Sus scrofa: one gene and its partners. The protein of the gene in region 2 binds, or shares a complex with, the protein of the main gene of each other region. Links are inferred from orthologs where the notes say so. Each region holds a gene or a part of one and is shown on either strand. Other genes may lie near its edges. The genes, in order: RIPK1, CASP8, MEFV and RIPK3.

What was found.
Region 1: CASP8 (region 2) and RIPK1 share a complex: the UniProt entries of both Homo sapiens proteins name them as parts of the AIM2 PANoptosome complex. The link is inferred for Sus scrofa from reciprocal best matches to the Homo sapiens genes CASP8 and RIPK1.
Region 3: CASP8 (region 2) and MEFV share a complex: the UniProt entries of both Homo sapiens proteins name them as parts of the AIM2 PANoptosome complex. The link is inferred for Sus scrofa from reciprocal best matches to the Homo sapiens genes CASP8 and MEFV.
Region 4: CASP8 (region 2) and RIPK3 share a complex: the UniProt entries of both Homo sapiens proteins name them as parts of the AIM2 PANoptosome complex. The link is inferred for Sus scrofa from reciprocal best matches to the Homo sapiens genes CASP8 and RIPK3.

Annotation. Positions count from the first base shown.
Region 1 is NC_010449.5:1,838,244-1,846,261, reverse strand, and holds the start of RIPK1 (receptor-interacting serine/threonine-protein kinase 1), read right to left. Parts: upstream 5,120-8,018; 5' UTR 3,716-5,119; intron 3,203-3,715; 5' UTR 3,083-3,202; intron 1-3,082. UniProt on the Homo sapiens protein: Serine-threonine kinase which is a key regulator of TNF-mediated apoptosis, necroptosis and inflammatory pathways.
Region 2 is NC_010457.5:104,934,301-104,941,544, reverse strand, and holds part of CASP8 (caspase-8), read right to left. Parts: intron 6,088-7,244; coding exon 5,982-6,087; intron 5,140-5,981; coding exon 5,001-5,139; intron 4,621-5,000; coding exon 4,576-4,620; intron 3,588-4,575; coding exon 3,502-3,587; intron 1,139-3,501; coding exon 997-1,138; intron 1-996. UniProt on the Homo sapiens protein: Thiol protease that plays a key role in programmed cell death by acting as a molecular switch for apoptosis, necroptosis and pyroptosis, and is required to prevent tissue damage during embryonic development and adulthood.
Region 3 is NC_010445.4:38,931,386-38,939,374, reverse strand, and holds the start of MEFV (pyrin), read right to left. Parts: upstream 4,755-7,989; 5' UTR 4,688-4,754; coding exon 4,411-4,687; intron 2,340-4,410; coding exon 1,500-2,339; intron 1-1,499. UniProt on the Homo sapiens protein: Involved in the regulation of innate immunity and the inflammatory response in response to IFNG/IFN-gamma.
Region 4 is NC_010449.5:74,948,377-74,956,141, reverse strand, and holds RIPK3 (receptor-interacting serine/threonine-protein kinase 3), read right to left. Parts: upstream 4,998-7,765; 5' UTR 4,804-4,997; coding exon 4,784-4,803; intron 4,501-4,783; coding exon 4,360-4,500; intron 4,206-4,359; coding exon 3,896-4,205; intron 3,440-3,895; coding exon 3,294-3,439; intron 3,171-3,293; coding exon 3,124-3,170; intron 2,908-3,123; coding exon 2,740-2,907; intron 2,629-2,739; coding exon 2,543-2,628; intron 2,316-2,542; coding exon 1,953-2,315; intron 1,820-1,952; coding exon 1,759-1,819; intron 1,226-1,758; coding exon 1,086-1,225; 3' UTR 887-1,085; downstream 1-886. UniProt on the Homo sapiens protein: Serine/threonine-protein kinase that activates necroptosis and apoptosis, two parallel forms of cell death. Necroptosis, a programmed cell death process in response to death-inducing TNF-alpha family members, is triggered by RIPK3 following activation by ZBP1.

The DNA of each region.
Region 1 (8,018 bases), on a different chromosome or scaffold from region 2:
TTTTCCCGTAACATGAGACATTTCGAAACAAGAGGAAGCACCCTCTGGAAAGACACGTGTCTGTGGGGCGGAGACAGGGTTTGGGGGAGGTGCCCAGATAAGGACAGGGAGACAGAGGGGACAGGAGAGGCAGACACCGAAGGTGAGGGCGCCTAAGCCATAAGGACAGTGGCTCTTCTCCTGTATGAACTCAGGCTTTTTAACTTAGCAGCCCTGTGTCTTAGGTAACTGACATAAGCCTCAACTTCCTCATTTGCAAAAGGAAATAACAGTGCCTCTCTCAAAGATTGTAAAGATCGTGTGAGAAAAAAATACATGAAAATACACTCACTGCCTGCTTCGCGGCTCTGGCCCCGGTTGGCCCAGCCACACCTGTCCACGCGCATCCCCTCCCTGGCCCTGCGGCCGCCAGTGCGCAGCCGGGGTCCCTCTTCTCAAGCAGCTCTCTGCTGACCCGTCTTGGGGGGCGGGGGGACAGAGTTTTTGATCGTTCCCCCCATAAGCCCTGCGGGGACACTTCCCTCTCCGGGCCAGAAGCTGCTCCTCCTTCTGGCCTCAGAAATGCCATTTCCTCCTGCGCAGGGTTCCTTCAATTAAGCTCACAGAAAACAGGAAACTGTGTGAGGCCGTCTACAGCGCCCGGCACAGAAACTGACACATGGCAGCTGGTCACCAAATGAGCTCGTGTCTTAAAAAAAAAGAACTACTGGCAGTTCCCGTCGTGGCGCAGTGGTTAACGAATCCGACTAGGAACCATGAGGTTGAGGGTTCGATCCCTGGCCTTGCCCAGTGGGTTGGGGATCCAGTGTTGCCTTGAGCTGTGGTGTGGATCGCAGACACGGCTCAGATCCCGAGTTGCTGTGGCTGTGGTGTAGGCCGGTGGCTAAAGCTCTGATTCAACCCCTAGCCTGGGAACTTCCATGTGCCATGGGAGCAGATCAAGAAAAGGCAAAAAGACCAAAAAAAGAACTAGAATTGTTCAAAGATAAAGACTAGAGTTAAGCGGATTCAAGCATATTCACAAGCTGTACCACTATACAGCCAGTGCATGACAGGGTGGATGGGTGGGCAGACCGACAGACACAGGCCCAGGAGAAAAGATACAGAGAAAGACCCTGACGGGTGAGCAGGAATTTTATTTGGATGGTTGGGTGATTCTTTCTTCTCTACACTTTTACTACATTTTCCAAGTTTTCTACAATAAACATGAATTATCTTCGTAATGAATTTTTTGGCCTCACCCACGTCATATGGGCGTTCCTGGGCCAGGGATCAAACCTGCCCCACAGCAGCTACCTAAGCCGCTGCAGGAACAACACTGGATCCTATACACCACAGGAGAACTCCGACAGATCTGTTTTAAAGGAAATAATTCCTTCACTGTGCAGTTCTTTATTCTAAGGAATCAGGTGCTGGCATAGATTATGCACAAAGATGCTCCCGGTAACACTACGAAGAACAGCAAAAGAACAGAAAACAACTGACGTGCGCAGAATAAGGGAGAGTAAGTTATACGGCCAATTCGCACCATGAAATACATCCAGCAGTTTTCAAAAATGGTGGTAGGGTATGCATGTTTAGTAATATTACAAAAGGCTCACAGACCGAGTAAAGAAACAGAAAGGAATTACACCCATGCCTTGAAAGAGGCCCAGCGGGGTGTCAGGATTCAGGAGGATGAGGTTCCAGCTGCTCTCTCTCCTTCAGCCCAGATCTTGGCTCCTCAGAGCCACCAAGACCAGCGGGGACTTGTAGCACCCCCTGCAGGCAGGATGCGCTCGGTGGGGGCGGCTCCCGACCTGGGCTGGTTCTCCTCGGGCTGCGGTTTGCTGGTTGAGGCTGGTCTGACCTAACTTCTGCTCCTTTGCATGCTGTCCAATGATTTCTTGAGATTGTACTGTTGCCCCCGCCCCCCGTTTCCTCTTGAATGATTCAACTTTATAAACACTGAATAATTTAGGAAGGATTGTGTGTGAGTGATTTAGAAACCCAAGAGTCACAAAAACACAATGCAGGCAGAAAACCAGACGATAAAGCCCGTTACAGAGGGGTCAATAAAAGCCAGCCGGCCAGTTGTCAACTTGCGATTAACTAATTTCCACAAGAACGTGAATATATCTCATTTAATGGGGTTTCTTAAGATTTCTGCATAAGTATATTTTTGTTTGTTTGTTTTTTAGGGCCGCACCCACAGCATACAGAGGTTCCCAGGCTAGGGGTCCAATCCGAGCTGTAGCCACCAGCCTACACCACAGCTACACCACCACCAGATGGGAGCCGCCTCTGCGACCTACACCACAGCTCATGGCAACGCCGGATCCTTAACCCACTTGAGCGAGGCCAGGGATCAAACCCTCAACCTCATGGTTTCTAGGTGGTTTCTGCAGCACTGGTGACGGGAACTCCTGCATAAGTGTATTTAATTCAGGGACTCAGGAAAGCAATCTTTTCCACTGAAGTTAACTGAAACTTCACTAATGACCTTCAAAGGCACGACAGGTCTAGGTATCAAAATATTTATAGCTATATTCCATTTTGTTTCTCACTATACCTCAGTAAAGCTGGGGGGACATGTGAATTGTTAATAATAAATAATAACACCAAAACGCCAACAAAACTGATCTATGACCCTAACAGTCGGGAGAGTGGCTCCCGGGGGGCGGGGGCGGGGGGGACCAGGAGGCTCTAACTGACACGAGGTTCGAGGGATTGCGGGCAGCAGTGTCTTACTTGGTCAGGTTCCCTCTGCGATGCGCAAGAGAGCAGTTAGGCCCTGTGCACTTTTCTATGTAAACATTTTAAAAAGCGACTCCAAATACTCATAGTCACCTTTAAGTGGGAAGGAGTATTTTCTCCATTTTACAATGATGACCGTAGGTAATGAGTCTGACGGAAAATGCTGCCCATCGCTGCCCTCCTTTCCCTGCTGACAGTACTCTGATTTGACTCAAGTGTCCAAGGGTTCTTTGCTTATAACCCCTTGAGGCTTTGCCCCAGATAAACAAGAGCTCCGAGCAAGGAACATCCCAATGATAAGTAAGACAGAATGACAGGAAGCGTTCCAGCCAGCCTCCCCAGGTACCTTAGGACACTGCGGCCTAACGGTAAAGGCAGTAACTCCTGGAGTTGAATGATGCCTCTAACACGGCAGAGTCTTTCCTCTCTCCACTCAAACTTCCGCTAACACATACATGCTTCTTCTCTAGGGAGCAAACCATAACCTTTGTTAAAATCACGTGCAAGAACCTCATCTCACAAACTTGCTCACCCCTGAGAAACACACACATCAAAGTGTGTGGTTCCAGATCAGCTTTCTGCAGGTTATAACACGATCATTTTTGCCGGAGAATAACATCCAACCAGAGCGTGGGAAGCTTTGTGTTTTTTCAAATTCCCCGATCACACTGGCCGTATCAACAGTGTCGCGGATTAATAAGCCCCAATCGGAAATTGGCGATTTCCGAACTCGATGTTTAGGGACTTTTTCTTCACTCTCCCGGATGTCCCCAATCCTCCAAGTACAACGTGCCGCAGAGGAAAATGGAGACAAGTTAAAAGCGTTACTGCTGCCTCGTCAGTGATAACTAATGACGCTGCCGCTGTACCCCATCATTTTATTTTGAACGAACTCAGTCTTCACCTTTACTGTCTGGAAGAGCTGCCCTTCCCCGCACGTATAACTGACCACGACTGTCTCCCTTTCTTTTGCACCTACCTGATGGTTACAAAATGCAGATCAAGCACGAAGTCACTCTACAGGGCCAAGTTCACTCCTGCCTTGATTTCTCCGAGTGTAAAACTTGGGGTAAGAACAGTGGTCTAAAGACCGAAGAACTTCGGCAAAGTTGGTTGAGTGCAAAGGCTTCAGGCTTTGTCCAAGATACACAAGAGCTCTGAGCAAGGAGCTGCCAAACGATCAGCAACAGGCCGAGACAACCAACCACCACGCCTCCGGCGGGGTTTTGTCCACGGCTCAGGGAAGAAGAACTTAGCTCGCCCTCTTCAAAAACTCCGACGAGGTCGTGGAGCGCTTGGTAAGAGCAAACGCCACTGGCCACGGACGAGGCCTCCTGGGGTTACGACATCCTGCCCCTTCGTCGCTGTGGACCCTTCTCTCCCACTTGCCGGCTCCCGGCCGAGGCTACGCGGAAACGCCCCCGTCCCGCGAGCCGCGGCGGCCCCAGGCCCCAGGCGAAGGTCCTTCCGAAGGGCGGTAAGGAGGCCGGGCTCAATGACACCGCCGTGAAACCCCACCTCCCCCACCAGCTCGACAGCGGGAACGGCGTCGGTTGGTTCCAACATCACAGGGGAGGCAGGGCTCCGCCCTCGGACCGCCAGACCGAAACCACCCGCCAGCGGGGAGCCGCCGCGCTGCGGCCAGGTAACCGGCCCGCGCCCGACTTCCGGGAACGCCTGGGCCACGCCCACCCCGCGCGGACCGCCGGCCGACTTCCGGGAAGGCCTGGGCCACGCCCACCGCCAGACCCCGGGAGCGCCGCGGGCCGCGCCCAGCACCCGTCGCCGGACCCGCGTCCCTGGTCCGACCCGCGGAGAACCCCGCCGCCCGGAACGAGGTCGCGGGCCACGCCCACAGCCTGACTTCCGGGAACGCCGACGGCCACGCTCACCACCTGACCGGCCCGCCGCCCCGTCCGTCCGGAACGCGGTCGCCCGCCCGCCGCCCGCGCGCCGGAAGCGGGAGCCCCGCCCTGGGCGGAAGCCGTTCGGGGAACCTGACCGCGGTCCGGGTTCCCAGCGCAGACCCACCGAAGGATTCGCTTTCGCTTCCGCGGGCAGCTTCCCGAGGCCGAGGCGGGGGCCGGGGCCGGGTGGAGGACGAGGCGGCGGGGGCAGTCCAGGATTGCCCCGACGCCCGGCAGCGTCGCCGGCGCGGAGCCTGACGAGGGTCGCCGCGGGCTGAGCCGTCGGCTGCGACACCGGCGGGGCGGCCCCGCGCTCCCCGCCCCCGGCTGCGCGAGCCCGCCGTCCGCCGCCTGCTGCCCCGTGGGTCGGCGCGCTCCGGCCCTCGCGGAGTGGGCCCGCCGGGACCGGCGCTCCAGAAAGCCGATCCGGTGTCCCCGTCGCCTGCGCGCCGACTGAGTGAGCTCGGCCGGAGGAGGGCGTGGACTGCTCGCTCCGCCTTCTGCCCCTGCCCCTGCCCCGGAGGAGGGCGAGCCGAGCGCCCGCCCCGCCGCCGGCCGGGCCTCCTGGACAGCTTTCGGAACCTGGAGTGCGCCCAGCCAGATGTCGCGGCTTTGCTGCGTTTCAGAGCGAGTCCGGAGGCCCGGAGAGGAAGTGCGCGGAGTCTTAGAAACCACTCTTAGAAACCTCCCAGGTGGGGCATGCAGCCCCAGGGGAGTTCTCAGCTCCGCGGGTCAGCGGCGCTGGAACTATAGGCAATTATCATGCTCTCATCTCCCTCACCTGTACAGCGAGGATAATAAAATCTACTCTGGATTTTAGAGTAGAAGAGCAAGGTATTTATTTTGCAGTCTTTTGCAATGATAATTGGGAAGTCTCAAGCAAAATGGGAAATACTTGCTCTAGTGTTACGTTAAAAAGCTTATACACAGCGTGATAACATACTGTAAAACGGTACATACATCAAGAGAATGAGATGCCACAAACTAAGAAAAAGCACATATATTAAAACAGTATTACCCAAAATGAAGTAAAAACCTAAGAAAAGGAACATCGCAGTAAGAAAATGGGCAAAAGATCTGAACAGTCACTTTACCATATAGATGGCATGTGAAAAGATGGTCAATATTAGAAGTCACTAGGAAATTATGAATTTCTTCTTATTCATTTATTTATTTTGGCTGCACTCAAGCAGCATGTGGAAGTTCCTGGGCCTGGGATAGACCCCATGTCATTAAAGCAACCTGAGCCACTGCAGTCACAATGCTGGGCTCTTAACCTGCTGTGCCACGAGAGAACTCCAGAAACTGTGATTTTAAACAGCAATGAGATACCAGTACATCCTATTGACTTAAAATAGACTGCCAACTATTTCTCAAAAAAAAGGTTTATTCATGATCCACAAAGGATTGCATTTCAGGGTCTGCAACTGTAGGAAGCTGTGTGCAAAGCCCCAGCAAAAATGGAGAGGAGGACACTTTTATGGGGACAGAGGAAGTTAGGAGGGCTATAGTTTAAAAAAAAAAAAAGATGCAAATCAAAACTACCATGAGATATCACCTCACACCAGTCAGAATGGCCATCATTAATAAATCCACAAATACCAAGTGCTGGAGGGGCTGTGGAGAAAAGGGAACCCTCCTGCACTGTTGGTGGGAATGTAAACTGGTACAGCCACTATGGAGAACAGTTTGGAGATACCTTAGAAATCTATACATAGAACTTCCATATGACCCTGCAATCCCACTCTTGGGCATCTATCCGGACAAAGCTCTACTTAAAAGAGACACATGCACTTGCATGTTCATTGCGGCACTATTCACAAGAGCCAGGACATGGAAACAACCTAAATGTCCATTGACAGATGATTGGATTCGGAAGAGGTGGTATACATACACAATGGAATACTACTCAGCCATAAAAAAGAATGACATAATGCCATTTGCAGCAACATGGATGGAACTAGAGAATGTCATCCTGAGTGAAATGAGCCAGAAAGACAAAGACAAATACCATATGCTATCACTTATAACTGGAATCTAACATCCAGCACAAATGAACATCTCCTCAGAAAAGAAAATCATGGACTTGGAGAAAAGACTTGTGGCTGCCTGATGGGAGGGGGAGGGAGTGGGAGGGATAGGGAGCTTGGGCTTATCAGACACAATTTAGAATAGATTTACAAGGAGATCCTGCTGAATAGCATTGAGAACTTTGTCTAGATACTCATGTTGCAACAGAACAAAGGGTGGGGAAAAAAATGTAATTGTAGTGTATACATGTAAGGATAACTTGATCCCCTTGCTGTACAGTGGGGAAAAAAAAAAAAAAGTCTGTAGCTTTTCACTGGTTGAGTTGCCTGGAGAGAAGAGGTGTTTTTTCTTCCTCTTGGCCTCTCTGCTGCTGTTGCAGGTATGAGAACTCCCCCTTCTGGCCTCCTCTATTTAAGGTTTTTGTTCTTTGTTCATTTGATTTTTACATTTCCCCCTTTGATCAAGATCTTTCTCTGAAAGCATCTCCATTCAAGCATGAGATTTTTTTGGTGTCAGTGGCTTTTCTGTACCCCAGTGTCAGGAAAGCCCTTTCCTATCTCCCATCAGTGGGAAAGGACACAGATTGCAAACATGCAGAGGTTACACTGGAGTAAGAAGGAGGAGTATGAGAGCTGTCAGGCACTTTTCACCCAAAGTTCATATGTTACCAAGATCAGAGACGCTGGAGATCATCTGAAGTGCTGTGTTGTCAAAGCTTTGGCAACAAACTCCCAACACGCCTGGTCCAGTTATCTTGGGAAAGCTGACTCATCAGATGCCATCTGCTTCAATTCTGGGAAATCTTTACCTTTAGGTCGCCAGATGCTGTACAGGTCCAGTCAGGCTTTGGCTCTTAAATGTAATTGTGTCATGTGAGTCCAAGAGTCAGTTCTTTGGAGTGTGGTGGCACAAGGGTTGGTTAGCAGTACCTGATAGGGCCTTTCCAATAAGGTTGAAGAGTTTGGAGGTGTCTTACTCCCACAGATAAAATCTACTGGTTGCAGGTGTGAGGCTTAAGGTCTTCATTTCCCTGGAGACACTGGAAAGACTACAAAATCATGGTTATTTTTGGTTGAAGTAATTAGATCTTTATGATAGTGGAACAATGCATAGCACTCCTGGGTCAAAAGAGGCAGGCGCCAAGCATAACGTGTGTCCTATGACTATCTCAGACCGTGAGAGTTTATGAATATAAGAAGTGGATCGAAGATTCAGAAGGACCAACGGCAATGCTTTTGGCCAAAGTATTTAGAAACCTTTGCAAATGTTGCCAGCTGAGTTATAAGGGCACCATTAGCACAGTCAGGTAAACCAGAGCACTGAGGGTGTAACTGCAGCTACGGT
Region 2 (7,244 bases):
AAAATCAACCTATCTTAACTTTCTGAACTTTATTTTAAAAAAGCTCACTGGAGGAGTTCCCCGTCATGGCTCAGCAGTTAATGAATCTGACTAGCATCCATGAGGACGCAGGTTCGATCCCTGGCCTTGCTCAAGGGGTTAAAGGATCCGGCATTGCCATGAGCTATGGTGTAGGTCAAAGATTCGTCTCGGATCCTGCGTTGCTGTGGCTGTGGTGTAGGCCAGCAGCTACAGCTGCAATTCAACCCCTAGCCTGGGAAACTCCATATGCCATCGGTGTGCCCCCACCCCCAGCAAAAAAAAAAAAAAAAGTCATTGGAATTTCTCTTGGTGGTGATTTGGTGGCGAGCTGCAGCTCGGATTCAATCCCTGGCCCAGGAACTTCCAAGTGCCATGAGTGTGGCCAAAAAAGAAAACAAAAAAACAAATAAAAAAGCTTATCATTGCATTTTATAAACCTCTTAGTAAGATTTGATATTTTATGTTTATATATACATCACTTTGATTTTAAAAATTACTTCAAAAAAAAAAGCAGAAAACTGGAAAATACATATGAATGTTCTTCACTTCCACAGGGAAATGTGGTTATATCCATCTTTTTTTTTTTTTTTTTTTTTTTTTTTTGCTTTTTAGGGCCACACCCGAGGCACATGGAGGTTCCCAGGCTAGGGGCTGAATCAGAAATACAGCTGCCAGCCTGTGCCACAGCCACAGCAATGCAGGATCCGAGCTGTGTCTGTGACCTACACCACAGCTCATGGCCAGATCCTTAACCCACTGAGCCAGGCCAGGGATCGAACCCTCAACCTCACTGTTCCTAGTCAGATTCATTTTGGCTGCCCCACGACGGGAACTCTGTTTTTGTTTTGTTTTGTTTTGTTTTTTTATCTATCTTTTTTAAAACCTGTGGCCCTGTTGATTCAGCTTTTATTCTTGCCTTTTGATAAAAACATAAGTGTTAGAAATATTTCCCTTCCCTTTTGGGTTCTTCTGTACCTGCATCCAAGTCTGTTCCATTTCTATCCTTAATGTTGTGAAGTCTGGCTATATTCTTCCGTGCTACACTAAAATCATAATTGTTGAAGATCAAACAGTATCCCCGAGGCTTGCTTTTCATTCGGTAAACTGCTTCTGATGCCTGGAAAACAAAAAACTCCAACTCAGGAGCTGACTCTGTGGGTCCAACACTTGAGATGTGAACAAACAACCCCAGGTAAGAGCGGAGGCATGTCCTCAGCTAAACTGGGATCCGAGTGCACTTTTCACAGCCCCGCCCCAACTTGGCACTTCTCCCCCAAGGAACTAGTTTCCACTCATTCCCACCCACCAAGATCCCCAGACTTCTGCCCCCCAGTTAGTGTGGAACAGCAGTGTCCCACACTCAGGTTTCCTGAGCATATTTATGAATAGTGTTGTCATCACACTGTATTGGTATGATTTTTTTTTTTTTTTTTCTTTTTCCAGCCACACCTGAGGCACATGGAAGTTCCTGGGCCAGGGGTAGAGCTGCATCTGAGGCTAGGCCACAGCAGCACCGGAACTGAGCTGCATCTACGACCACAGCTTGCTGCAACGCCAGATCCTTAACCCACTGAACAAAGCCAGGGGTCAAACCCGAATCCTCACGGATACAATGTTGGGTTCTTAACCCACTGAGCCACAACAGGAACTCCCGTGTTGGTATTATTCATTCTCCTTTCTTCTCAAAGCAGAGGACATCTATGCCAGGGACTAGGATATATTTCTAATTGGGCAGGAGTTGCTGGACATATGGGTGTCCTCATGCTGTCTCTGAGCTGCCACTTTGTGACCTTGTGATCCCCCTGGCTCTCTGCTCAACTCATCCAGGTTTCTGGGCTAACAGCTGAGGGCCTGCCCGTCACACAACATGGCCCCAGGATTTTTAAAGCTGACGGCTTAATCCACTTCTGAGGATCACAGGGACAGGAGGATAGAGATGTGCCAGTCGCAGGTCTTGGCTGTGCTACAGGTTATAGTATCTAGACTCCAGCACTTGACAGTATCAGTCAGAGGAGAGGCGGTGACCTCCTAACTTTTCCAGGGCTGTTTCAGTGCTAAACTAAGGTAGTTAACATTTATTGGGAAATCCGTGCAGTTTCTGGAGGCAGAGAAAAGGGCCCCAGGCTAGGGGGCCAAATTCCTGGCTCTACTATTTAATAACCTTAAGACTTTGGACAAGTTACATGATCTCTCTTGCACTCGGTAGCATTAGCTGATGGATGGGCAAGACGCTTGCAGAGTGCTTCACTGTTCACCAAGTGCCGCGTGACTTTGGTTAATTCTTGATGTTCAGACTGAGAGAGGTCTGGTAATTTGCTCAGGAGCCCGCTAATAAATGGTCTCTCTCGGAGTTCCCGTCGTGGCGCAGTGGTTAACGAATCCGACCAGGAACCATGAGGTTGCGGGTTCGGTCCCTGCCCTTGCTCAGTGGGTTAACGATCCGGCGTTGCTGTGAGCTGTGGTGTAGGTCGCAGACGCGGCTCGGATCCCGCGTTGCTGTGGCTCTGGCGTAGGCCGGTGGTCCGATTCAACCCCTAGCCTGGGAACCTCCATATGCCGTGGAATCGGCCCAAGAAATAGCAACAACAACAACAACAACAACAACAAAAAAGACAAAAAAATAAATAAATAAATAAATAAATGGTCTCTCTCAAGCTTAATTAGAAGTCTCCCACTACAGGGAGTTCCCATCGTGGCTCAGTGGTCAACGAATCCAACTAGGAACCATGAGATTGCAGGTTCGATCCCTGGCCTTGCTCAGTGGGTTAAGGATCCAGCGTTGCCGTGAGCTGTGGTGTAGGTCGCAGACTCGGCTCGGATCCCGTGTTGCTGTGGCTTCAGCGTAGGTTGGCTACAGCTCCGATTGGGTCCCTAGCCTGGAACTTTCATATGCCAAGGGAGTGGCCCTAGAAAAGGCAAAAAGGCAAAAAAAAAAAAAAAGAAAGAAAGAAAAAAAAAAGTCTCCCACTAGACTTCTAGCATATAGGGTTTCCTCTGCTTCCCGCCACAGAGAGAAGTGAATGGACTGGTGAGTCAGGATGCGGTCAATTGTTGAAGGCTGTAGAAACAGAAGTGATTATATCTGGAAAGGCAATTCTTGGGCCAGCTCACCCGGATGAGAACATAGAGACACTTGGATCATGAGCATTTTGCTGCTTACACCTAATCACGAAGGAGAATCAGTTTTTAAATGCCAAGCTAAAAAAAAAAAAAAAAAAAAAAAAAAAAAAAAAAAAGACAACTTTTTTCCAATCCTGCTCATCTTTCCCCCCAAAGCTCTCTGCCCTTGAGGCTGATGCAGCTGCCGAAAGACGAGGTTAGAGGCTCCCTACCCCTCTGTCCTCCAACTATTCCAATAGAAATAGAAACTTAATACACAGGAAACCAAAGAGCTGTTCAGTTTTATCTGGAAGCTAAAAATGCTCAGGAATCCGATAAATAGTATCTGCAGCGCAAAGGGAAAAGGCGACGGGAAGATACCTCTGAATCACTGTCCTGTTCTCCCAGACAGTCCGACATGGCCAGCTCTCCCAGGGACCCCTCCTGGATCACCAGTTGAGACATATCTGGAAAGAGACACGGCAGGGAAGTTCCTTTGGTAAGGAGGGACATGGCACTCGGGACAACGTAAGGTCCCTTTTGATAGGGATGGAGTAGACACGGGTAGTTATAGAAGTCCCAATAAAGAATCATAGATAGAGAGGGAAATCTAGGGGACACTGGGAGATCACCGAGAGTTAATAAATTGCTCAAAAAAGCCATCAGAGCAAGGCAGGCTTGCTCGGCTCGTGGAAGGAAGTTCAGAATTGCCTCAGGTCATTGGGTGGGGGATGGAAGGAGACCTTCGTTCAGATTCAGACCAAGACAGGAATTTGAGGACCGCCCTTCTGCTGATTTGAATACACACCTTACAGGATACCAAGGAGGAGCTGCTACTCCCCAAAAGGAAGAGGTGGGCTTTTCCAACCCCCACTCCCCTTGGATGATAAAACTGTAGCCTACCTAATCCTCCGGGAAGACCCTCTTGCCCGCCTGCTTGCATCTCTCACAAGCGTTCCGTCCTAATCAATCTATTTCTTGCCTATCCCTTTGTCTCTCGCTGAATTCCTTCTGCGAGGAGGCATAAAGACCCTGAACCTCCACAAGTCCAGACATCAGGTGAGTGCTCATTTAAAAACGTGGGTTCAAGTCTCCATCTGGGTTTAGGCCAGGTTCAAGTCCTGGCATATGGGTTCAAGTCCCAGTCTGTGGTCTGGCTAGGTTCCAGCCGTTAGTGCTGTCCGTTTCATTTTGAAAGTGAGAATTCACAAACCGCCTTAAATATAATATCCATGCAGTCCACAGAGTAAGTGAAAATCTTATCACTGACCAACTGCCCTCATTTCAAACTTGGGGCTGCAGGGCCTCTGTCTTTTGACAGCTTCGACATCTACCAACCTGCAGAGAAAGTGTCAACGTAGCCACTGCTATTAGCAGAGCAGGTCTCTTGGGTCTATGAAGCTCTCAGGGGGTAAATTAAACTAAAGAAACCTGGAAAACATCTCCAAGCATTACCATTTGAAAATTCATCCGAAGCACTTTCAAGGCTCATTCTTCGATCTGAAGTTTAAAAGCAAACAAACAAACAAACATTTGATTTGAAACAGCTGTGACATAGAGGGCTCAATCAATTTATGACTACCATTTGCTGATTCACAGCTCTTAGGTTTTTTTTTTTTTTTTCTTCTTTTAAGGGCTGCACCGCCAGTGTACGGAAGTGCCCACGCTCGGAACTGTAGAGCTGCAGCTGCCGGCCTACGTCACAGCCACAACTACGCCAGATCCGAGCTGTATCTGTGATCTATGCTGCAGCTTGCAGGAATGCCAGATCCTTAACACACTGAGTGAGGCCAGGGATTGAACCCGCATCCTCATGGATACTAGTCAGGTTCCTAACCTACTGAGCCACAACAGGAACTCCACCGTCAGGTTATTTTTACCTTTGTTTAATTCTTCATAATCACAGATTTTCTTCAGCAGGGCCTTGTTGATTTGTTCACAGATTCTTTTCAGAGTCTCCAAATTTCTTTCCCCTAGGATGGCCCTCTTCTCCATCTCTATAAACATATCAAGCAAGGTCTAGAGGGAGGAGATATAAAGTTGGAAAACTGGATGGAACCATATTGGCTTTTATTTATTTATTTATTTATTTATTGTCTTTTTTTTGCGGCATATGAAGTCCCCAGGCTAGGGGTCGAATTGGATCTGTAGCCGCAGGCCTACACCGCAGACACAGTAATGTGGGTTCCGAACCGTGGCTGCGACCTACACCACAGCTCACAGCAACGTCAGATCCTTAACCCACTGAGCAAAGGCAGGGATTGAACCCACATCCTCATGGATACTGAGCCACAGCTGGAACTCCCCATTATGGCTTTTTTTATTATTTTTTTTTATTTTTTATTTGCTTTTTAGGGCCCCACCCAAAGCATATGGAGGTTCCCAGGCTAGGTGCCAAATCGGAGCTACAGCTGCCGGCCTACACCACAGTGATGGGGGATCTGAGCTGTGTCTGCGAACTATACCACAGCTCACGGCAACAGCGGATCCTGGACCACTGAGCGAGGCCAGGAATCAAACACATCCTCACGAATACTAGTCGGATTCATTTCCACTGCACCACAATAGGAACTGCCCCCATACTGGCTTTTAGATTCATTTTTTTCACTGCCACTTTCTCCAAACCAAGTGCCCACCCTAGCTTCCCAAGACCCTGCCTTGTTCCTGAAAATTAATATGAGCAGCACTTTACAATATACAAAGGCAATGCATCTACAGCACTCATGCCTGACAACGTTCTCCCCTGATAAAAAATTGAGACTTCAGGTTACTTTTACCGACTCACATTCTCTTTGGTCTCAGAAGTCCCCACTGGCTGACTCACCCTCAGGACTAAATCTCGGTGAGACACCAGGTCTTACCATGTCATCATCCAGTTTACATTTGGCAATCTCCTGACTCAAAAAAAACTTAAAGTCCTTCAATTCCGACCTGGTCACATTTTCGGAAATCTGAAAAAGCATGACCCTGTAGTGGGAAACAGAATCACTTTTAGAACTACTTTCTTCAATAATTTCCCATTTGATACATGAGTCCCAGTGCACTTGTTTCCTATGGCTCACTTTAAAAAGCTAGCTAGCTAGGGAGTTCCCTGGTGGCTCAGTGGGTTAAGGATCTGGTGTGGTCACTGCTGGGACACAGGATCAGTCCCTGGCCTGGGAACTTCTGCATGCTGCAAGTGCAGCCAAAATGATAAGTAAAAATAAAATAAAGCCAGCTAATGACTTGATTTATAGGTTTAGTCCTTGGAAAGGGGTGTATTGACACTGAGACTACTGATTCATGCCCAATTAGCCCACTTTTTTTTTTTTTTTTTTTTTTGGCTTTTTAGGGCCTCTCCTGCCATATATGAAGTCAAAGTCCCCAGGTTAGGGGTCAAATTGGAGCTGCAGCTGCTGACCTATACCACAGCCACAGAAACATGGGATCCGAGCCACATCTGCAATCTATACCACAGCTCACGGCAACATTGGATCCTTAATGGAGCAAGGCCAGGGATCAAACCCACGTCCTCATGGATACTAGTTGGGTTCATTACCACTGGGCCACGACAGGAACTCCCGAAAATCAAGATCTTGTTGCAATAGAAAAAGGCTTTGATATTGGATATTGTGCTTGTCAGAATGCAAATCAGATCATCGCTTCCTTAATTAAAACTAGTCAATGTTCTCCCAGCCACTGCCTTCAGCAGGAAGGCCAAACACTTCCCTCTGGAATAGACTTTTGTAAACTGAGCCGAGCTGACCTCTTCTCCAGCCACTCCTCGCCGTCGTCCCCCCATCTCCTCTCCAAACCCAACCAGCTGCTCTGCCCCTCACCCTTTGATGCTGTGCCCCCGACACCCCCATTTCATTGTGCACCTCCAGACAACCCCTCATCCACCAACAGCTCAGGCACTGCCTGCCTGTCCTCAAGGCTACATTCAGCCCGCTGTGCCTGGGTGTCTCTAGAAGGGTAACACACGCTGTAACTGTCTGTTTATGATGAGTTCCCTGAGAGTGGAATCAGTGCCCTTTTGGTTTCCAAAAGCACAGAGGGTCATGAGATACAGGGTTTAAGTGCAGGGGACCCTGGCTCCTGGTGTTGGAACCTTTGATCCACCATCAAGCTGTGGGCTTTTAGAC
Region 3 (7,989 bases), on a different chromosome or scaffold from region 2:
TATTTTTTGGCCGCACCTGGGACATGTGGAAGTTCCTGGGCCAGGGATCAAACCTGGTCCACATCAGTGACCCGAACTGCTGCAGTGACAATGCCAGATCCTTAACCCACTGAGCTACTAGGGAACTCCTATTTATTTATTTTTAGAGCGAAAGAGATTTATACACAAAGATACTTCAGAGACAGAATGTGGGCTGTCTCAGAAGGTGGGGAGTGTTGAGCAATAAAGTGTTTTAAAATTAATGGAGTTCCCGTCGTGGCTCAGTGGTTAACGAATCTGACTAGGAACCATGAGGTTGTGGGTTCGATCCCTGGCCTTGCTCAGTGGGTTAAGGATCTGGCGTTGCTGTGGCTCTGGCGTAGGCTGGCGGCTACAGCTCCGATTAGACCCCTAGCCTGGGAACCTCCATATGCTTCAGGAGCGGCCCTAGAAAAGACAAAAAGATAAAAAAATAAATAAAAAATAAGATATGTACATTGTTTTTCAGATGTAAGACTATTGCACACCTCATATAGGCTACAGTGTAGTGTAAACAATATACTCTGGGAAGCCAGCAAATCCATGTGACTTGCTTTATTGCAATATCTGCTTTAGTGCAGTGGCCTGGAGCCAAACCCACGATATTTCCAAGGTGTGCCTGTTCATTCTGGCCAAGAGGACGTGAATAAGTAGAGGCACCATGAGCAGTGTCTGCAAACTGGAGAAAACCTTCCCTGAGTGATCGTCTTCTCCCTTGTGCCTCCATCCCGCTGCCCAGAATGCGGACGCTGCTCTTGGAGACCATGAACTTGAGAGCAAACTCTGTGGAGCAGAAAAAGGGCAGGAGCTTGGGTTCCTGGCCACAGGGTACCACATTTATCCTGGACCACCTATGTGTCATTTACATGGAGGGGGGACAAACTTCAGACTTGTTTCACTTACATTATTTTGGCACTTCTGTCAACCCATCATAACCCTAATTTCTGCCTCTTGAGTAAAAGAGACCCAAGGAGTTTAGCCAACAGCTCCCTCCTTGCCCGGAGAGGCCAATGGCAAGATCTCAGCCCCACGACATACTACCGTGGGGTATTGTGAGAGGGTGATCTTTCCACCCAGTCTTTTCCAGATGCTCAACCTGGAGTCCACGAAGCCCTTGGGAAGTCTTAAGAAGGACATCAGTGTATCTAAGAACTAACTAACGGAAAGGATCTGGTGGTGTCCCTGCTGTGGTGTGGGTTTGATGCCTGGCCCAGGAACATCCGCTTGCTACAGGCACAGCCCAAAACAGAGAACTAACCGAAATGGAGGCAGCATCTCCTGAAGATGTGCATGTGCACTTTTTTTTTTTTTCAGGATTCAGAGCCTACATCAAATTCTCAAAGGGCTGAGGACCTCAAGGGGCACCCAGGGGTCCAGTGGAATAAACACAATGGGGATAAACAGAGGTTTATAGGGGAAACCCGCACAGGTCATTATGCCCAAGGATGCTGAGTCTCCTGGATTCTGAGGTCCTTTCTTACCTGAAGACAGAGGGCCTTTCGGATTTGAAGGTACATGGAGCACACCGCCTGCCACCTCCTCCACAGTCCTGGAGCTCTCTGGAGCCTCAGTTCCTTTCTTCTCTGGAGGTGCTGTGGATTCTGGGCGCTCCCACGTCTTCTTCTTTGCAGCCAACGATATGTTGGACAGTGTATTCCTGAGTGCACCCCCCTGCAGGGTCATGGAATGTTCCAGATTCCTGGAGCCTTTCTCTGGAGCCACAGGAGCACACACATTCAGAGTGGCCATCTCACTGGGGGTGGCTGCTGAGCCTGGATTCTCACTTCCCATTTTCTCTTGAAGCAGAAGTGTTTCTGGATGAAGGGATTCTATCTCTCCGGGAGAAATGGTCAGTTCAAGACTTTTGGGTCGCTTCTTTCCTGTGGGTAAATAGGCTTCAGAGATCTTAAATTCTCTCCTTCCCAGGGACCCAGCCAGCGAGCCCCCGGCCAGGCCCTGGAGCCTTCCTGCAGAGCTGGCATTTCTGCGGAGGCTGACACCGGGCTTGCTCCCCTTCTCCCCCTGGGGCTTGCTAGGGAGTGGGCTTCTCTTGGAAGACGTGGTCATGTTCCGGGCCCCTGGCTTGCTCTGTGCATCTAGGCCCTCAGGGCCTTTCTGATCTCTCCGTTTGACCTGGGGCTTCTTCTGGGGCCCCTTGCCAGCCTCAGGCTGCATGGATGGTGGGCAGCCAGCCCCGTCACTGCTCTGTCGCTGCTTGTCACCTTCCAGGCCATCCAGTATCTTCAGGCTTTTGGGCTTAATCTCCCTAGAGGAGCATGACGTTGCTGAACTGTCTGTGTCATTTTCTTGTATCTGATATTCTGAAAAGACAGATAAAAAGGCATGAAGAGTCTCGGGGTCAAGGTGTGGGGAAGGGGAGAGAAGAGACAATTCCCCCTGAAATGAGGGACGTTCAGGACATTCTAGACGTCGGCAGTCAGTTACTATTACATAAAAACATACTAATTATTTGCTGTCTTCTGAAATAGTGCTTTTCAAACTTTTTTTTTTTTCTGTCTTTTTGCTATTTCTTGGGCCGCTCCCGCGGCATATGGAGGTTCCCAGGCTAGGGGTCCAATCGGAGCTGTAGCCACTGGCCTACGCCAGAGCCACAGCAACGTGGGATCCGAGCCGCGTCTGCAACCTACACCACAGTTCACGGCAACGCCAGATCCTTAACCCACTGAGCAAGAGCAGAGATTGAACCCGCAACCTCATGGTTCCTAGTCGGATTCGTTAACCACTGCGCCACGACGGGAACTCCCTTTTCAAACTTTTGTAGGCGGGAAACCTAGGTCTTGCTAAGAATTCTTAACGCGTAAGTGAAAACATTTGTTTATTGGTATGCATTCGTGTGTGGTTTATCGACGTACAAAACCCACTTACAAAATCCATCAGTAAAGATTGGCACACAAATTTGAAATCAGGGGTTATGAAGGACAGTTAAAACTTCAGAAGCTAATTTGTTTCTGGGTTTTTTTCCCCTTTGGTATCATGAGGCAAAGAAAACCTTAACTCGGACAAGCGTCATAGTAATTTTTGTTAAATACAGCTTGCATAGAAATTTCAGAATACTGTTTAATTAAACAGACACAACGAGAAAGGCTGAATTCCAGGGTCTCCATAAAAAGTTCAAGTGTAGCACGAACTTTCACACTGATGGCCTCCAGTATTTAAAATTTGGTTAATATACATTTTAATATGAATTTGTTTCATAAGTTAAAACAACAACATCTGAATTAGGTATTTGGTAACAGTCTAAATAACCTGTGAAATATCTTCCCGGGATACGGTTTTCAAACTACTTTAATAAGGAAATGAAAATAACCTGTAATTAGCACCTTAATTTTTGGTTTGAAAAATACTTAGAATTTAAAGTTGCTTAAACATTTTGCTGTTGGGTGTCTAGGAAAACATGTTACCCAGACGGGATCCAGAACTGGTAAGAAACCATGAAAATGCTAATAACCAGATTTTAAAATACAAAAAATTAACTTAAAAATTCTACTCATCAGGTTACACCAGACTCAGATTACGCTTTAGTTTTATCACTCTTTCAAAGAGCAGAGAATTTCTATGTTATGTAAAGTCTTCTGCCTCATAGAAGCACATATAAAGTATTCCTGATGTATTCTTAAAAGTCTAGAAATGTAAGAAAAATTCAAATATGAAAGAATAATTTTTTAAACTAATCATGTCTTAGCACCCCCATCTCCAAAAAAAAAAAGTCTTTAAAAACAGGAACCACTTGGCCACATTCTTTGATTACAATGTCATAAAATCAGAAAGTTGCAGCAAAACAGTAGCAGAAGGAAGATAAGGATGGAAAAAAGGAAAGAAAGAAAAGATGCAGGAAATGAAGGAAGAAAGGAAGAGAGAGAGAAGGAAAGAGGCAAAAGAGGAAAGGAAGCAAGGAAAAAGAAAGAAGAGAGTCCTTTTGAGAATTTTAAAATACCTTTGTAACATGCGTTAAAGAAGAACTGAGAGCAGAAATTCAGGGGGTACCACTGAGATTACCCATCAACCCTGCTGTTCATCCATCAACCCTGTGATCATCCAAACAAAGCTGTTCCTCTCCGGGTGAGTGCTAATCACAAATGAAGCGAGGCGCCTCTACCAACGGGCAGCCACTCCTGCCTCTCCTGATCCCACTCCAGAGTCAGAACCTCAGCCTTCTGGGTTTTGTTTTGTTTTGTTTTGTTTGTTAAGCCATTGGGAGCCTTACCTTTCCTCCAAAAACCAGAGAGGGGTAAGCACTTCCTTGGCTCAAGTCACCAGGGTTGTGGCAGACCTTGGACTCAAGACGCCCTGGTCCAAACATCAGTTCCCTCTTGCGCCTTCCACCCCACCCCGCCAGCAGCCAGCAAGTTGCGGGGGCATGGGGCCACTTACCTGGGCTGATTGCCCTGTGGAGCTCCTCTGCCAGGAGATGCTGGTTGATGGCCCTCAGGACCTGTAGGGTCAGTTGCACAGCATAGTCCTCCCCATAGTGGGTGACCAGTAGCATGGCCAGCTTCACTGGCTGGGCTGTTTGGAGTTGGCCCCGGGGGATCCGGGAGTGTTCCTTCTCCAGGCTGGTGTTCTGTAGCTTGAACTTGAACTTCTCAAAGTCATAGGGCACCAGCTCTTCCAGGGAGTAGAGCAGATGGTCACTGGGGGTCTTGGCCATAGCGTGGCCCAGGAGAGCCTGGAGGCAGCTGTCTGTCTTCTGAGCTCTCTGCCCTGGAGCCCCGAGGGTGAGTGAGAAGAGGTAGCTTGTGAAATAACGGAAAAGGCACAGGAAATGCTCTCCGTTTTGGTGGGAACTGAGACTAAGGCCATGAGCATGTCATGGCTGGCTTGGGTTCTCTTACAGATGCAGAGGCTTTTCCAGCTGGGAGAGCTCCACGCCCCGTCAGACAGGTGGCCGGCACCTGAGCTCTCACTGGCTGAGATGGATTGCAGAGCGGTGGGTAAGTCTTGGAGGGTCTGGAATTGGAGTCCAGGTTTTTTTTTTTTTTTTTTCTTTCCTTTTTATGCCTAGACCCTTGGCATATGGAATTTCCTGGGCTAAGGGTTGAGTCAGAGCTGCAGCTGCGGGCCTGCACCTCAGTCGCAGTAACCCTGGTTCCAGGCCACATCTGTGACCTACACCGCAGCTTGCCGCAGTGCCAGATCCTGAACCCACTGAGTGAAGCCAGGGATCGAATCCATATCCTCAGGGCCACTCTTTGGGGTTCTTAACCGGCTGGGCCACCACAGGAACTCCTGGATTCCAGGTTCTTGATCTTGGGAGAGGTATGGTGATGCTTCCCTGGCTTCTCCCAGGATACAGGGGTACAGTGGGGGGAACAGAGCCCCTGGTCCCATGCTGGAGAGGAGCATGATGAAAGTCAGCTTCTCCGGCCAGCTGTTCCCCTGCAGACTCTTGGGACTTTGTGGAGCGGGGAATGGGGAGCCGCAGGTACAACCCAAGGAGGCAGGTGAGGCTGGAAGGGCACCGCCCAGAAACCAGCCCTGTTATCTCCCCCTTGAATGTTGTTCTGGTTGTCTGGTTCTTCCAGCAACACGAATGCCTCAAAATGCCACAGGCCTGGGCCCACCATCCTGATTTGTTTGTCCCAGCGCTACCTCTGCCGCAGCTTCCTAGCCCCAGGCCTCGGAGGGGGCGCTCTTGTCCCTGCACATCTACTGAGCATGTGTCTGGGACCCTGGGCCAGGATGCCAGAGAAACAGGGCTGAAAAACCGCACAGGCATCCGGCAGAGCTCGCAGCCCAGTGTGGGGCCCCAGCGGTGGCTCCGAAGCTAAGTGTTGTGTGTGGGGTGGGGGCTGACTTCTTCCTTGGTTGACTGCTCCGTCTTTCTGCACTGATTTTTACCCCGACATTTTGTTTCCAAAAATGTCAGGATTTCCCAGTTGTGGCTTGGCAGAAATGAACCCGAATAGTATCCATGAGGATGAAGGTTTGATCCCTGGCCTCACTCAGTGAGTTAAGGATCCAGTGTTGCCATGAGCTGTGGTGTAGGTCGCAGATGTGGCTCGGATTCTGTGTTGCTGTGGCTGCGGCATAGACTGGCGGCTGCAGCTCCGATTCAACCCCTAGCCTGGGAATCTCCATAGGCCAAGGGTGCAGCCCTAAAAGGACAAGAAAAAAAAAAATTTCAAATCCACAGAAAAGTTGAAAGCATAGTACAGTGAACCCTTATATACCCTTTATCCTAGGATCACCAGCTGTTTACATTTTATAATGTTTGGTGATTCTCTGTCTCTCTCTCTCTCTCTCACACACACACACACACACACACACACACACACACACACATGCTTTCACTTCTCTTTTTTTTCTGAAGCATTTGGTAATAAATTTAAAACATATCAGATATCACTCCAGGAGTTCCCATTATGGCGCAGTGGAAATGAGTCCGACTAGGAACCATGAGGTTGTGGTTTCAATCCCTGGCCTCGCTCAGTGGGTTAAGGACCCGATGTTGTTGTGAGCTGTGGTGTAGGTTGCAGATGCGGCTTGGATCTGGCGTTGCTGTGGCTGTGCTGTAGGCCAGCAGCTATGGCTCCAATTGGACCCCTAGCCTGGGAACCTCCATATGCCTAAAGAGCAGAAGGAAAAAAAAAAGATATCACCCAAATACCCTAGATACCCTAAATACTAAGAATAAGTATGCCTGGATATCAATTTTTAAATTTTCTTTTATTTTGGGGGGTTGCATCTGTGATGCACAGAAGTACCCAAGCCAGGGATCATAACCATGCCACAGCAGCGACCGGAACCACAGCAGTGACACTGGATCCTTAACCTGCTGAGGCACCAGGGAACTCCCAGATATTATTTTAAATAATCACAACACTATTAATACACTGAGGAACTTTAATGTTTTTGTAATACTACAACCTGTCCATAATCGAATTGCTCAATTGTTCTGATAATGTCTCTGATGGCTTTTTTTTCCAAACAAGGATCCAATCAGATGGCACACATTGCTTTTAGTTGTCATGTCTCTGTAAGTCTCCTTTTATCTAGAACACTTTCACATCCCCCTGGCCTTTAAAATTAATTAATTTTTTAGGGTCGCACCTAAAGAATTTTTTAAAATTTTTTTTAGTTAAAAAAATTTTTTTTTGTCTTCCTAGGGCCGCTCCTGTGGCATATGGAGGTTTCCAGGCTAGAGGTCGCATCAGAGCTGTAGCCACTGGCCTACGCCGCAGCCACAGCCACAGCCACGTGGGATCTGAGCCGTGTCTGCCACCTACACCACAGCTCATAGCAACATCTGATCCTTCACCCACTGAGCGAGGCCAGGAATCGAACCTATGTCCTCATGGATACTAGTCAGATTCATTTCTGGTGAGCCATGATGGGAACTCCTGAATTTTTAAAAATTTTTTCGTTCTTTTAAAATTCTTTCAAGACATTAATGGTTTTGAAAAGTCTGCTAAATGTCCTTCAGTGCACATTTGTGTGATTCTTCCTTCCTTATTAGACTGAGGGCACATCCCTGCATCCTTAAGATCTCTCCATTGTAAAAGGTCCCTTTTGTCTTTGTAATTAATAACTAACCTGGCTGTGTAGAAATGTCTCAGCCTCTATGGTCTTTCACCCGCTGCTATTAGAATTCCTGGATGATCCCTTCCCAAATCAGTTGCTACAGTGGTGGTTGCAAAATGGTGGAACTTCTGTCACTTAGTTGGCATCATGTGCACATCCTGGTTTAAACTTTCTTTTTCAGGAAATGTTGGCTGACAGATGTTTTGCCAGTGATACACTCAGCCTTCAAAAGTGCTTCCTCTGTGCCAGGCACAGCTCAGCTTGCTTTCTATCCATTATTCCCTGAAATCTCTGCAGTCCCCCTTCGGTGCAGCATCCATCATCCCTGGCTTAGTGGCTTAGAGACTTGCCCGGGGCCAGGGTTCAAACACCCTCTATTAACCACCTTGTAATACTGCCTCCCTGCGTGATGAAACTGAATTTTACTCA
Region 4 (7,765 bases), on a different chromosome or scaffold from region 2:
TCCTCCCCCAGTCTGATTGTCTCTCCCAGCACCAGGGCCTCCTCCCATCAACCCCTTCAAGGAATGAGAATGCAGACCATGGGGGTGCTGGGCCAGTATCAAAATGGACTCAGAACCTTGGATGTGGGGAGACTGAGGGAGGGCTGGAAGGAAGACTGGCAAAAATGCAGGGAAGAAGCACATGGTGCTGTATGGGAGCTAAAGTCTAGGTCAAGATGAGAGGGCTGCTCATTCCCTGCCCCTCCAGACTGGGTGGCAGTGCTGTGGCCCCATCTGACCGGTCCATGCTCCAGTGATGTCCAACTCCAAGGGAGGGGTGTGTGTGTAGCTTTGTGGAGCCATTGCTCTCCACTCCTAGACACCAGCAGGGAATCAAAGGGTTCTGAGGCCTCCGTGTTACAGCAATGTGTGCGTGGGTGTACCTGGGGGAGGGAGTGGTAATATGGAGGCTGACCTGTGAGAGACTAGGGGCATCGTGCAGGGCAAAGATGTGCTGGGGACTGCGAGTTCCCATGGAGAACCCCCTCCCCAGGACCCCACTGCCAAGCCTCCATAGCCCACAAGAAAAGGTGGGTGGCTGGGCCACAGCCTCTACATCCAGGGTTTGGTTTGGGGTGGGGTCTTGACCTGCCCTACAGGAAATGCTTTGCCCTGAGATTAGAGCAGCCCCAGGAGATAGGCCTCCAGGATTCCTTCCTGCCACCGGCTGGGCCTTGACCTTGTGTGCCACAACATTGCCCATTCCCAGCATCCTGCTTCCGGTTGGTTGTGGTCCGTGGTTGTGGTTGAAGGGCAGTACCTCCCACTCCCTCGATGTCAGCTCCCCGGTCTCTCATCCATGTCCCTTTCCCTCCCCTGGCTGAAGCTTTAGCCTCCTGTACAGTGCTTGGGCTAAAATTCCACCAAGTTTATTGAGTCCTGGGGGAACAAAGACAGTTCGGGTACAGGCCTAATGACCCTCAGAGAATGCTGGGTTTTCCAGAAGGCAGTTCAGAAGCTGCTTTGATACTGCTATCATGATACCAGCCCTGTGGCCCACTCCAGGCTTCCGTTTCTTGCAGTCCTTCTTTCTAGTTGTTTGAAAGCTACTTGTGCTGGGGGCCCTTCTTCATGCCCCAAGGTACCGGGCCCCGCGTGGATGAGGCAGTTCTTCCTTTTATAACCATGTAGTTGCTGTTTCCAATCTGCACCCCTTGGTTGTAAAGTAACTGAGAAGACCATGGCCCTTTAAGAGAAACAGTGATGCTCGAGGGAGGGTTAAAGGGTACAGATCTGAGAGTCTAAGCGAGGAGGAGCGGCAGGGTGGGGGGCAGCGGCACCTTGTGTTCACCCTGGGGAAATGCAAGTAGGCAGTCTCTGGGCCTGCCCACGACTGTGTCAAGGAGTGCCTTGGGTCTTCCCTTTCGGGTTTCAGAATTGGGTTTGCAGAAGCTCAAGAGGAGTGGCAACGAACATCTGAGACGCTGACATTTGGGTCTTTTCTGCTGGGTGGCCCTCTGGGCCTACATAGCAGCAATGGAATTTAGAGGTTCACAGAGCTGGAAAGTCAGAAGGCTCAGGGGCAAATCCAGGCTTTGCTGTGTGACCTAAGTGGGACCCAATCCCAGTTTCTTCATTTATAAGATGAGAAAGTTGGGGTAGGTGACCTCTAGCCCTTTCTCATCCCCCTCCCCAAGTACCCTGGATCTATATTTGATCTTGAGGAAGAAGCTGGTGGAAGAATTGAGCAGAGGAAAGGAGGGAATGGGGAATGGGTACCTGATATTGGATTTGGCCCTGGTGCCATGGGAGACCAGTTGGTGCCACGTCTTTCAGGCCCCTACAGACAACACAGTGCCATCAGGCTCCCTGTCCCTGGGCCTGTTCCCCTACTGCAGCCCCAAGTTTTCCCTGGCAAGGGGACAGGATTCACAGGAGTCCTAGTGCATCCTTGAGTCCTGCCAAGGTCTCACCTGATTCTCTTGGGGTCCAGGGCCTGGGGGCCAAGCTGAGGTGTGGCTGGGCTTCTGGCTCATGAAAGGTAAGGTCTCTGGGGTTTGAGGAGGTTGGGCTGTTGAATCTGAAGGTATCTCTGCTGTCCAGGTAGGCTGAACCTGCTCTTTCTGGGCCCTGATCCTCTCAGGAGGGTTTGTACATTTTTCAGGAACAGAGCTGGGGTACTCCTCCAGGTTCAGGCTGTTCATCATTTCAGAGACCACAGAATCATGGCTTCCTGTGCTCCCCCTAAGGCCATCCATTTCTGGACTTTCCAGGCCTGGCTCACGGACAGACAACAAGCTGCTGCTGCTCTTGTGCTCAGACAAGAACTCCTTCACCTGTAAGGATGGAGAGCTGGTTGGGCATGGAGGTGGGAGAGCCAGGGTTAACCCAAGGGAGGAGCCTCTTGGCCCATGTCCATTGCCTGGGAACTCAGGGATGGGTTGGGGGGAGTGGGCATGAGAGTCAAGGCTTAGAGAACAACAGTCAGCGGGGAGTCATTGGGTGGCCAAGGAAGCCATGCTGTGCCTTCCCTGCCCAGCTCCTAGGGGTGCTAGACACTCACTGTGGAGACCGCGGCATTCATCTTCTTACAAGTTACATCTTGTTTCATTACCAGATCGAGGGCTCCCTGGGTGTTGGGTCGGCAGTCTGGAGAGAAGGCAGAATGGGTGGTGGGTGAGCATAGCTTCATTATCAGGGAAGAGCCCCCTGCGGACAGACCCAGGCCTACCTCAGCTGCCAACTAAATGGCCAGCGCACCTTGGAAGGAGGGCCTATTCCGGGGGTCATGGCTCCAGCAGCGCTGCATTAAATCCTTCAGTCCTTCCAAACCAGGATTCTCAGGGCCAGACTGGGGCAGTTCATCCAATGGGGGTCGGACGTGCCTTTCACACACTGCTTCCCGCACCAGTGATATCTGGGTCGCCACTGGGGAGGGGGTGGGGGACGTGGAGAGAAGGCATTCAGAGAGTGAGGGCCACCTGCCCATCATGGAAAGGGGCAGGGAGTACAGTCCAAGGAGAGGTGAGGAGGGAGTAGGGCAGTGTGAGCAGGTCAATAGGAAGAGGAGAGCTTGGGGGGGTGGGGGCTTGGAGGAGGGGGACACCTGAGATTCGGGATCCCAGAGTCTGCCTGGAGTCTTACCCTCAGCTTCTCTTCCGGCTAGCACCGCCCACATCAGGATCCCAAAGCTGCAGGAGACAAAAGCTGAGGCCTGACCCAACTGCTGGCAAGACTCCCTTCCATATATTGTCCCTCAGAAGGACCCAGAGAGGTGTAGAAATTGGGATGTGTATGTGGAGTGGGTACCTTACCTGTAGACATCACTGGCCATGGAGGCCTTTCGGTTTATATCAGCCAGCAGTTCTGGGGCCAAGTAGGCTGGGGTGCAACCTGATTCCCCAGATTCTGCCCTTGACTGTGAACCTCCCTGAAATGTGGACAGGCCAAAGTCTGCTAGCTGCAAAGGGAGATAAGAAGGAAGAGATACGGATGGATAGGGCCAGGCAGCCTCCAGAACTTTCTTCCCACTACCCCATAGAATGTTTAGGTCCAGCCCTGGAAAGGGGGTGTGGAGGGTTAGAGAAGTGGTAGGACAAGTGGGGCCCTTGGTTGGAGGTCTGGGTCCTCTCTCCATGGGGCTGGGTCAAGATTTGAGCCTCCTAAGCTAGGTTAGCCATGGGTGTTTGGAGGTCCTAGTGGGTTCTAACACAGTGGAACTGACCATGTTGGTCAAGGCCTCTATCACCTGGTATGGCAGCAGCTAAAGCTCCTGGATGGCAGCCCTATATCCAGAGGGAGTTGCTGAGGGTATCCTGGGCTGCAGCAGATAGGTCTCATGTCCAGTGAGTGGAGCTGGAGCAGCTCTGGAGCAGGATTTTGTCCAGAGGTTGGGCTGGGGCGGGGATGCGCTGACCTTGGCATGGAGCTCTGAGTCTAGCAGGACGTTGGAGGGTTTGAGGTCCCGATGGAGGAGCACAGGGTCCTGGCTGTGCAGGTAGCACATCCCGAGCACCAACTCCTGGAGCAGGCGGCAGAGAAGCGGCCAGGGACGAGGGCACTGGGGCTGTAGCAGCTCCGCCAGGGAACCATTCTCCATGAACTGAGTCACCAGAGCCGGCCCAGATACATAGTCCCACTCCAGCTTCTCTGTGATCCCCAGCAGGAGCAGCACATAGCTGTTATGCAGACCTGCCATGGCCTTCACCTCCCTGGATATCGCCTGCCTGCAATCAGAAGAGAGTTGGAGTCTGCTTCTGAGAAGTTGCTCAGCTTCTGGGTAGACCCTTCCCTTTCCCACCCTGGCCCTGAGTTACAGCGGCCTGCCTTCTCCACCAAACACCTGGCTGGCACCAGCTGCCAGCAGCTTGGGTCACTCACGAGTTAACGATCTTGACCGCCACGTCTAAACCCCAAGTCTTGTGCTGCGCCCGGAAGACCGTGCCAAATCCTCCTTTGCCGATGAACTTCGGGTTCTCCAAGTCCTCGATGGGCACCAGGGGCGCTGAAGCACCAACGTGCCTGTGAGAGGAGGCCTGGTCATCAGCTGGCCATGACCCCCAAGTCAGCACTGCTGTTCCCCATGCCACCCCATCCCCGTGACCCCCATGACTGCATATGGTCAGTTCAATCCCCAGCCTCCCCCGTGAAACCCACTATGCCCCGGGGCCTTGGCACATGGGTGGGTGGCATCCCCTGAGTGAGCCCGCGGGGTGCCTATTGTGTGTGTGTGTGTGTGTGTGTGTGTGTGTGTGTGTGTGTGGTGGGGGGGTGGCTCCAGATCCATATCTCACTCTTTACTCACCATAACTTAACGCCGGACATCAAGTTGGTAGGTGCAGAGGGTTCTGGAAGTTGAGAGCCCACACGGAAAGGGGGGCGGCGCTGGGAGAGGAATCAATCTCCAAGCCCCGTCACAGACTCCGCTTCCCGGAATCCGCTTCCCGGCTCCCCAGGTTGTTCTCTCTACTCAGCCAGACCGACTTCCTCTTTGACGGAGGCCTCTGCAGTCCTGCCCTTGGGGGCGGGGGGGGGGGGGGGGGACGGACGGGGGCGGGGAGACCGGGACGGGGATGCGGGCGGGGTGCAGAAAGGAAGCAAGTGGTTTTCAGAACGTGCTGCTTCCGGGTTAGTTGCCCCTTTTTAGATCGCCACAGAAGGCGTCCTCACTTTCCAGGAACATATAATCAACAGCCTCCTACAAATGGTGTCGTTTCCTTCTTCCGCAGGATTCCTAGCTCAACCACCAAGCCTGCTGGTGCTGAGGATTCAGTGCTGAGGAGCATGTTAGGGGCCTAGGACTCAGCTCTCCTACAGCTGCCCTAAGGTCAGAGCTAACACATTTCTAAAGCGCACCACACGCCATGTACATATATTAGCTATTTAATTCGCATGTCAACTCTAAGGGGATAAGTACTTATTTATTTATTTATTTATTTTCCACTGTACAGCGTGGGGTACAAGTTAACATACATGTATACATACTTTTCCCTCCCATTGTTGTGTTGTGATGTATCTAGATATAGTTCTCAATGCTACACAGCAGGATCTCATTGTAAATCCATTCCAAGAGCAATAGTTTGCATAGATTAACCCCAAGCTCTTGATCCCTCCTCCTCCTCCCATCCCTCCCCCTGGCAGCCACAAGTCTATTCTCCAATTCTATGATTTTCTTTTCTGTGGAAAGATTCATTTGTGCTGTATATTAGATTCCAGTTATAAGTGATATCATGTGGTATTTGTCTTTCTCTTTCTGACTTATTTCACTCAGTATGAGAGTCTCTAGTTCCATCCATGTTGCTGCAAATGGCATTATGTTGTTCTTTTTTATGGCTGAGTAGTATTCCATTGTGTATATATACCACATCTTCCTAATCCAATTGTCTGTCAGTGGACATTTGGGTTGTTTCCATGTCTTGGCTATTGTGAATAGTGCTATAATGAACATATGGGTGCCTGTGCCTTTTTTAAGGAAAGTTTTGTCCAGATATATGCCCAAGAGTGGGACTGCTGGGTCATATGGAAGTTCTATGTATAGATTTCTAAGGTACCTCCATACTGTTCTCCGTAGTGGCTGTACCAGCTTAATTTCTCACCAGCAGTGCAGGAGGGTTCTCTGAACCATCAAACTTTGCTATATTCATATAAGCTTCAGCTGGTCGTGAAGGTGTCTGAGGAAGGTATGAAGCATCCAGCAGTGTAGTGGGAGTCCCTGTATGTATTCCTGCCACTGGTGGTGATTTGTCTGCTGGCAAGACCAAGACCCACTCCTAGGGCATTGTGGTCAGCGAGAGGAATTGACCCAGCAAAAAGAATTGCTGACTTGGTGGTGTACACTGCAGTGGAACACCTCAGAGCCTGCCTGCCCTCTCCTCCTGCAGCAATTCCTCAGGGAAAATTCTCTGGTTAATAAATATTCCTGACAAGCATGTGCTCTGGACAAGGGCCTTGGAGAACTCAGGAGCTTGGGGGAACCTTAAGGATTTAGAGTAGATAAAAGGTGTCCATAGATTACCTGCCCAAAGCCTGACAATAGCTGGAGGTTGTAGAGCTAGATATGGCTAGTCTTGGGCTTTCATTCCTTTACAGGAGACCCAACCCTGTGGGTCATGGGCCAGCTCTCACAGGACGGTGCTCACCTTGGTATGAACTTTCCATTCTGTCCAGTGGTTCATGGGCTCTGTTAGTTGGAGCAAAAGTGGCCAGCGTTTAACTGAGGTTTCTAGAGCAACTGGAACTCCGGGATCTACATCATGAATTCTAGTGACGTCAGTCCATGCTATTTGCAAACTATTTAGGATTTTTTTTTTTTTCTTTTTAGGGCTGCACTTGCAGCATATGGAAGTTTCCAGGCTAGGGGTCCATTCTGAGCTGCAGGTGCAGGTAGGTGTACAGGCTGAGGTGCTGTTCATACACCTTCAAGCCATAAAGGTGTTATTGTGTTTATCTGCCTGCCTTGGGCATAGCTACAATCTTCCAGGCCTCCACTTGCTCCTTAGCTTGGACCTCAGGGCCCCGTAAATTTTGAACTCTCTTGGCATTTTTTTTTTTTTTTTTGGTCGTCTTTTCTAGGGCTGCACTGGTGGCATGTGGAGGTTTCCAGGCTAGGAGTCTAATCGGAGCTGTAGCCACCAGCCTTTGCCAGAGCCACAGCAAGGCTGGGTCCATAACCCACTGAGCGAGGCCAGGGATCGAACCTGCAACCTCATGGTTCCTAGTCAGATTCGTTAACCACTGAGCCACGATGGGAACTCCCATCAACGGGTTTAAATCTTTAAGGATTTCAGAGTTTGGGACAATCAGATGAAGACTCTAAAGAAGTTATTGCGAAATGTTTAAAGAAATAAAAGATGGAATAGAAAAAAAATTAGCATGAAATAAGAGATTATAAAAATGTCCAACTAGACTTAGGGAAAAAACAGAATATCAAGAAATAAAAAAAATTATATGTGCCCATCCGTTAAAATTAAAACTGCAATGCAGAAGATATAGCTGAAGAAAGTGTACTAAAAGATGGATCTGAAAAAAAAAATTCATCAGGAGCTTCCATTGTGGTGCAGCAGAAACAAATCTGATTAGAAACCATGAGGTTGTGGGTTCGATCCCTGGCCTCTCTCAGTGGGTTAAGGATCCGGCATTGCCATGAGCTGCAGGGTAGGTTGCAGAAGCAGCTTGGATCCTGTGTTGCTGTGGCTGTGGTATAGGCTGGCAGCTGTAGCTCCAATTGGACCCCTAGCCTGGGAACCTCCGTAATGCCGCGGGTGCGGCCCTAAAAAGACAAAACAAA